2 linked regions of the Oryctolagus cuniculus genome follow. The protein of the gene in region 2 purifies or fractionates together with the protein of the main gene of each other region. This does not show direct contact. Links are inferred from orthologs where the notes say so. Each region holds a gene or a part of one and is shown on either strand. Other genes may lie near its edges. The genes, in order: DHX15 and CMTR1.

Region 1 (3,812 bases), on a different chromosome or scaffold from region 2:
TCCAGTACTGCAGAGTTCTGCTGGACAACAGTACTCTAGAAGTGAATCACTCAAATCCCGAGGAGCATCAGCATTATCTGGACACCTATAGAAATAAGCTCACCATGACCAACAAAATCAGATTCCGCAAATCTTCTAGGTGGTCTCCATGAATACTAGCTTCAGAAGTATATTCTGGGAGCCAGCACTGTGGCATAGCGGATAAAGTTGCCACCTGCAGTGCCAACATCCCATATAAGCGCCAGTTGGAGTCCCAGCTGCTACACTTCCAATCCAACTCTCTGCTATGGCATAGGAAGGCAGCAGAAGATGGCCCAAGGACTGCACCCGTATGGGAGACCTGGAGGAAGCTCCTGGCTCCAAACATTGGAACAGCCCAGCTCCGGCCTTTGAGGCCATCTGGGGAGTGAACCAGCAGATAGAAGCTCGCTCTTGCTACCCACTCTATCTCTGCCACTGCCTCTCTGTAACACTGCCTTTCAAACAAAGAAATAGTTAAAAGAAAAAATTATATTCTGGAAAATTCACAAGGCCCATGAGATCAAAAGAAAAAAAGCTCATAACAATCTCTATGAAATGGTTTCCTAAAATGTTGTTTTATCCAAATAGCTTTTCTTGCATTTAGCCTTTGAAGAATTTAATAGCATACCTATAAATGCCCTGCTGTAAATAGAAATAGTAGGCAGGCACCGCGGCTCACTAGGCTAATCCTCCACCTAGCGGCGCCGGCACACCGGGTTCTAGTCCCGGTCGGGGCGCCGGATTCTGTCCCGGTTGCCCCTCTTCTAGGCCAGCTCTCTGCTGTGGCCCGGGAGTGCAGTGGAGGATGGCCCAGGTACTTGGGCCCTGCACCCCATGGGAGACCAGGAAAAGCACCTGGCTCCTGCCATCGGATCAGCGCGGTGCGCTGGCCGCAGTGCGCCGGCCGCAGTGGCCATTGGGGGGTGAACCAACGGCAAAGGAAGACCTTTCTCTCTGTCTCTCTCTCTCACTGTCCACTCTGCCTGTTAAAAAAAAAAATAGAAATAGTACACTTGTGGGGCAAACACTGTAGTCTAGTGGGTGAAGCAGCCATCAGCATCCCATATCAGACTGCCAGTTCAAAACCCTGCTGCTGTTTCCTATCCAGCTCTCCATCAATGTGCCTGGGAAAACAATGAAGATGGCTTAAGTACCTGGCACCCTGCCATCCTTGTGGAAGACCAGGATGGAGTTCCTGAAATCTGGCTTCCACCTGGCCTAGCCCAGTCCTTAATGCCATCTGGGGAGTAAACCAGCAGATGGAAGATATCTCTGTCACTCTACCTCTCAAATGAAAAACTTCTGAAAAAAGAAAAGCTACTACACATGAAAATCTGTTGTCTAAAAATGAAGTTCTAACTAGGAAACTTCACTGATCCCTTCAATCCTCAGCACATGCAAAAGAACGAACAAAAAGAAGACAAACATTTTGAGGGTGGATGGACACCTAACTTCACTCATAACCAAAACAACCAATTTTGAATTGAAGAAATGCATGATTTTACAGGAGCTGGGATTCCAATTCATGCATCAGCAAAATAACACAACCCAGGCTGCATCAAAATTGATACAACTGCTAAATCCTGAAATTCTAAAAGCACTTAACACTCTTGCTATAATTAACACAATCAGTCGCCAAAGAAAAAAAAATTTCCCAGAGTACATAAATAAAAGGGTCATGTTTAATATGTTAGTACAATCAGGTTGAAGAAAAACTTCAAACAACGGGATAAGAAAAATATAGTTAATATCTAAATCAAGGCCGCTGCTTGATAGAAATGTGTCAAAGGCTATTAACGAAGGAAACAATGACAATACCTCTTGACCAGTTAAGAAAAGCAGAAGATCTCCCTCCTCCTCTTCACACATATGAATCTGGATCACTGTTCGGATTGCTGCTTCAAGATAATCTCTCTCCGGTTCTGGAGTATAGAAGATCTCAACAGGATGTGTACGCCCAGGAATAGTTAAGAGTGGACAGTTATCGAAGTAAATCTGGAATTTTCCTGCATCCAGAGTAGCACTCATAACTATCACCTGAAAGAAAACAGTAAACTACTTGAAATTGTCTTCAAGGGTTCTTACATGGTCTCAAAAAACAGAATAGTAAAGGTAAAAATATTTTCATTGTTATCTATTATAAAGCTTAAAAATTTCAAATACACTGTGATTTAAATATCAAATGCAGAAAAGCCTGAACTACAGCAAGTTATGTTATTTATTACAAATTATTTAAAAATTTTAAGTAAAACATTAAACATGTAAATTTACATGAACCAACACTTTCAAAACCAAAACTTGGGGACCCGCACCATGGTGGCACAGTAGGTTAATCTCCACCTACAGCACCAGCATCCCATATGGGCGCCGGTTCTAGTCCCCAGATGCTCCTCTTCCAATCCAGCTCTCTGCTTTCGCCTGGGAAAGCAGCAGAAGATGGGCCAAGTCCTTGGGCCCCCCGTACCCACGTAGGAGACCGGAAAAAAGCACCTGGCTCCTGGCTTCAGATCAGCTCAACTATGGCCGTTGTGGCCATTTGGAGAGTGAACCAATGGAAGGAAACCTTTCTGCTTCTCCTCTCACTGTCTGTAACTCTGCCTCTCAAATAAATAAATAAAATTTTAAAAACAAAACTAGCTGGTGCCGCGGCTCAACAGGCTAATCCTCAGCCTAGCGGCACCGGCACACCGGGTTCTAGTCCCGGTCGGGGCGCCAGATTCTGTCCTGGTTGCCCCTCTTCCAGGCCACCTCTCTGCTGTGGCCCAGGAGTGCAGTGGAGGATGGCCCTGCACCCCATGGGAGACCAGGAGAAGCACCTGGCTCCTGCCTTCGGGTCAGCGCAGTGTGCCGGCCGCGGCGGCCATTGGAGGGTGAACCAACGGCAAAGGAAGACCTATCTCTCTGTCCACTCTGTCAAAAAAAACCACTTATGAAATTATATGTCAAAGGACTGATAAGATAATGTCAGAAAATATTCAGTCAGCTTTAAACCCTTAACACGGCAACCCTGGCCAAGATCTAAGCGGTATAGGAGAGAGAAAAAAAAAAGGAAGACACAAGTGTAAACAAATGTCCTTCTGATGAGTGCTTGTCCTGGTAGTTGTTCCAGCGTTATCAGTGATTTTGAGGGCTGAGATGACAGGAATCTGAGCAACAAAGACACTGCTTAAAGAAATGAGCCCTCTTGTACGTAATGAAGGGATGAAAGACAAGGTGAGCAACAGTTACAAAAATATGCTAAAAGGGGCCAGGACGGTGGCATGGTGGGTAAAGCCACTGCCTATGGCTCCAGCATCTCATATGGGCACTGGGTCAAACCCCAGATACTCCACTTCTGATCCAGCTCCCTGCTAATGTGCCTGGGAATCCAGAATTAGATTGCCCAAGTGTTTGGGCCCCTGTACTCATGTGGGAGACCTGGAAGATCCTGGCTTCAGATCAGCCCATTCCAGCCCTTACAGCCATCTGTGGTGCAAAGCAGCAGATGGAAGCACTCTCTTTCTCTCTGAAACTCTCTTTCAAATAAATAAATTAATTAATATGCCAAAAGAAAGGATCAGAAACTAGTAAGATATGCCATAAAAATATATTACTGGGGCCGGTATGTGCTCTAAGTTACTGCCTGCAACACTGACATCCCACTTGAGTGCTAGTTATGTTCCTAGCTGTTCCACTTCTGATCCCACTCCCTGCAAATGCTCCTGGGGAAGCAGTGGAAGACGGTCGCAGTATTTGCGTCCTGTTAACCCATGCAGGAGACCTGGATGGAGTTTCAGGATCCTGCTTCGGCC
Region 2 (3,812 bases):
GGATCTGAAAGGAGAGCGCGGAGAGCCCCGTCACGAGCCCTGCTGACCAAGGCTGTGTGTGAGCAGGTGCAGGCAAGGGGCCTGTTCAGACTGCAGCAGAGGAAATGGAACACAAGAAAGGGAGCTGGACTGGGCTGGCAGCGTGGCGTGGGGGGTAAGGCTGCCGCCTGCAGTGCCGCCATCCCATGGGGTGCCAGTTCATGTCCTGGGGCTTCACCTCCGATCCAGCTCCCTGCTAGTGGCTTGGGGAAAACAGATGCAGATGGCCCCTGCACCCATGGAAGAAGCTCCTGGTTTCAGCCTGGCCCAGACCCAGCCATTGTGGCCATCTGGGGACTGAACCAGCAGATAGAAGACTCTCTGAAGCTCTTTCAAATAAATAAATAAATCTTGAAAAGGAAGGAAGGAAGGGAGGGAGGGAGAAAGGGAGAAAAGAGAAAAAGAAGGAAGCTGGAAAGTGGGCGAGGGAGTTGGGCGATTCCAGACCTGTGGTCGCACACTTCTCTCTGGGGCGCTTTGTGGGCAGGGACCACCAGTAGCAAAATGAAGCCTGTCCACCTCCCACCCCATCCCTTCTGACCCACCTACTGACAAACTGGCAGTGCCAGGCCGAGGAGGCAGCGCCCTGCAGCGCCCAGAAGCCAGCTCTGCAGTACTGTTAGAGGCAGCCACTTTCCAGGCTGGGTGGGCGGGGATCCGCAACTGACAGGGCTCGGGGCAGCCCTGCTCTCCAGAGCTTCTCGGCCCGACAGTGACAACAGGCCCGGGAGACACTCACCCCCCAGAGCTGCAGGCACTCTTTGCGGATCTCTGCCTGCCGAGGTTCACTCAGGGTCCTGAGAAAACGAAGCCAGGAAATGGTTAAATCCTCCGAAAGCACAGGGGCAAGCTCCCTGTGTGCCCCTCACAACCCACAACCCAGAGGAGGCCGACACCGGAACGCACGTGCACACACAAAGGCCGTGCCCCGCGGCCAGGTGCTCACTGCACTCAGGGCCGCTCCTCCTGACAACAGGCGTACGTGGAATGGGATTACCGCCCCTTCCACCGCGGGACACCTGCTCTCTGTGGAAAGGGGAGGTCAGAGGTGGTTCTGCTCACTGTTGGCCCCACAGAAGGAAGGTGACTACCCCCCTAACACACACACCTATGCCGGGGCCCCCACACAGCCCTCTTCCGATCACCCTTCAGCACGTCCTGGGTCCTCCTCTGTGACACGCCACAGAAGACCCGTCAGCAGAGGTCCACACGCCTCGTGCAGCTGCCACAACTCCTGGTCACCCCCACCGGAGGTTCTCCCTGCCCACCCCTTACTCTGTCGCCTGAACACTGTGTTTCACTTGTGCCATGCTGCTGACTCTGAGGCACTGCTAGGAACTCTTCCTGTCTCCTTTTCCTGGTTATTTGCCCAATGGCGACTTATAGTCTCTGAGGACCAGTTCACACCATAGGCTTCTGTGACATCCTTCACAGTCCACGTGTGTGTTGTTGCAATGAAATAAATAGAGCTTTGGGGAAGAGCAAACAAATCTTCCCTTGAAATAGGTGAATTCAGAAAAGGAGGCAACACTTACGTGTCTTGAACAAAGGCGTGGATTTTGGCCAGAGCTTTGATCTGCAGACTACAATGGCTAGTAGAGAAAGAAATGGTTTGATCTCAGAAGGATTTCCACACAAGACAGCCACATGACATCAGGACATAACCAGAGCTACGGCCATCTATATTTAGGGAATAGGCTGAGTGGTTGAGAGAGGGCCACTCCAAGGTGCAGTTCTATGGAGCCCACCGGAGGCTAAGGGCAGAGGGAAAGAATCATGTCGAACCCTCTAGACACTCAATCCCAAGTCCTACTGAAGAGAAAGCTTTTGATTCTACCTTTACATAATTTGAAATCAGGGGCCGGCACGGTGGTGCAGCAGGTTAAAGCCCTGGCCTGAAGCGCCAACATCCCATATGGGTGCTGGTTCTAGTCCCAGCTGCTCCTCTTCCAATCTAGCTCTCTGCTATGACCTGGGATGGCAGTAGAAGATGGCCCAAGTCCTTGGGCCCCTGCACCCACATGGAGACCCGGAAGAGGCTCCTGGCTTCGGATTAGCACAGCTCCGGCTGTTGCGACCTTCTGGAGAGTGAACCACTGGATGTAAGACCTCTCTCTCTCTCTCCCTCTCTCTGTAACTCTTTCAAATAAATAAAGTAAATCTTTAAAATAATAATAATTTGAAACCAGTGACAAATATTGTAATTAAAGCAACAACAAATCCTAGTTGCAGTTCAATTACATACTAAGCTGGCTGAACCCATTCATATTGATAGCTGCCCTTTCTTTTTTATTCTTCCCTATTACACATAACATCTTGCATTGAATAAAAAGTTAGGAGGCATACAAAGCAAGAAAATGTGACACAATGATGGCGGCAAACGGCCCAATAGAACAAGACCCAGAGATGGCTGAAACACTGAAAGTCTGGATGGGGCCTTTAGATAGTGATAAACATGTTAAAAGATCTACTGGAAAAGGCAGGCAATACACACAAAAAGATGGAGAATTTGAGCAAAGATAAAGTAACTTCTGTTTTACTTAAAGATTTTTATTTTTCTTTGAAAGGTAGAGCAATAGAGAGAGAAACAGATTTTCCATCCTCTGGTTCACTCCCCAAATAGTCACAAAAATGGCTGGTGCTAGGCCAGGCTGAAGCCAGGAGCCCAGAGCTCCAGCGAGGTCTCCCAAGTGAGTGCAGGGGTCCAAGCACTTGGGCCATCATCTGCTGCTTTCCCTGGCAAGTTAGCAGCGAGCTGGATCAGAAGCAGATATAAGGTGGAACCCAAACTGATGATCCACTATGAGATGCTGGGATCACAAGCATAGCTCAACCCACTGTGCCACAACACCAGCCCCAGTACCTGTATTTTTTTTTAATATTTTATTTGAAAGGTAGAGTAAAAGAGAGAGAGAGAGAGAATCTTTCATCTACTGGTTCACTCCTGAGATGGCTGCAATGGCTAGGGCTGGGCAAGGCCAAAGTTAGGAGGCCTGGAGCTCCATCTGTGTCTCCCACATGGGTGGCAGGGGCCCAAGTGCTGGATCATCTGCTGCGGCCCTCCCAGGCTGCCATCGAGCACGCAGCCGAGACTTGCACCAGGCACTCTGATGTGAGATGTGGTGTCCCAAGCAGTGTCTAAACCGCTGTGCCAAATATCTACCCCAAGACATTGAATTTTAAAATTTCTCAAAACAGAAACTCCAGGCTCAAATGGCTCCACTATCAATGATTTAAAAAATATTAACTGCCGGCCGGCGCCGCGGCTCACTAGGCTAATCCTCCGCCTAGCAGCGCCGGCACACCAGGTTCTAGTCCCGGTCGGGGCGCCGGATTCTGTCCCGGTTGCCCCTCTTCCAGGCCAGCCCTCTGCTGTGGCCAGGGAGTGCAGTGGAGGATGGCCCAGGTGCTTGGGCCCTGCACCCCATGGGAGACCAGGAAAAGCACCTGGCTCCTGGCTCCTGCCATCGGATCAGCGCGGTGCGCCGGCCGCAGCGCGCCGGCCGCAGCGGCCATTGGAGGGTGAACCAACGGCAAAGGAAGACCTTTCTCTCTGTCTCTCTCTCTCACTGTCCACTCTGCCTGTCAAAAAAAAAAAAAAAAAAATATTAACTGCCAATCTTATATAAATTGTTTCAGAAAATAAAAATAGGAAACACTTTCTAAATCATTTTATAAAAACAGCCTAACCCTGATACTACTACCAAAGACTTCAGATGAATATAGAATTAGGAACTAACATCCTACATGATTAAATTTCTGGGCCTGGCGCT

Evidence for each region.
Region 1: the proteins of CMTR1 (region 2) and DHX15 purify together in Homo sapiens (co-immunoprecipitation; 3 studies listed by BioGRID and IntAct, with this or other methods). This does not show direct contact. The link is inferred for Oryctolagus cuniculus from reciprocal best matches to the Homo sapiens genes CMTR1 and DHX15.

What each region holds. Positions count from the first base shown.
Region 1 is NC_091433.1:19,757,042-19,760,853, forward strand, and holds part of DHX15 (ATP-dependent RNA helicase DHX15), read right to left. Parts: intron 2,059-3,812; coding exon 1,840-2,058; intron 1-1,839.
Region 2 is NC_091436.1:132,179,291-132,183,102, forward strand, and holds part of CMTR1 (cap-specific mRNA (nucleoside-2'-O-)-methyltransferase 1), read right to left. Parts: intron 1,632-3,812; coding exon 1,575-1,631; intron 837-1,574; coding exon 779-836; intron 5-778; coding exon 1-4. UniProt on the Homo sapiens protein: S-adenosyl-L-methionine-dependent methyltransferase that mediates mRNA cap1 2'-O-ribose methylation to the 5'-cap structure of mRNAs.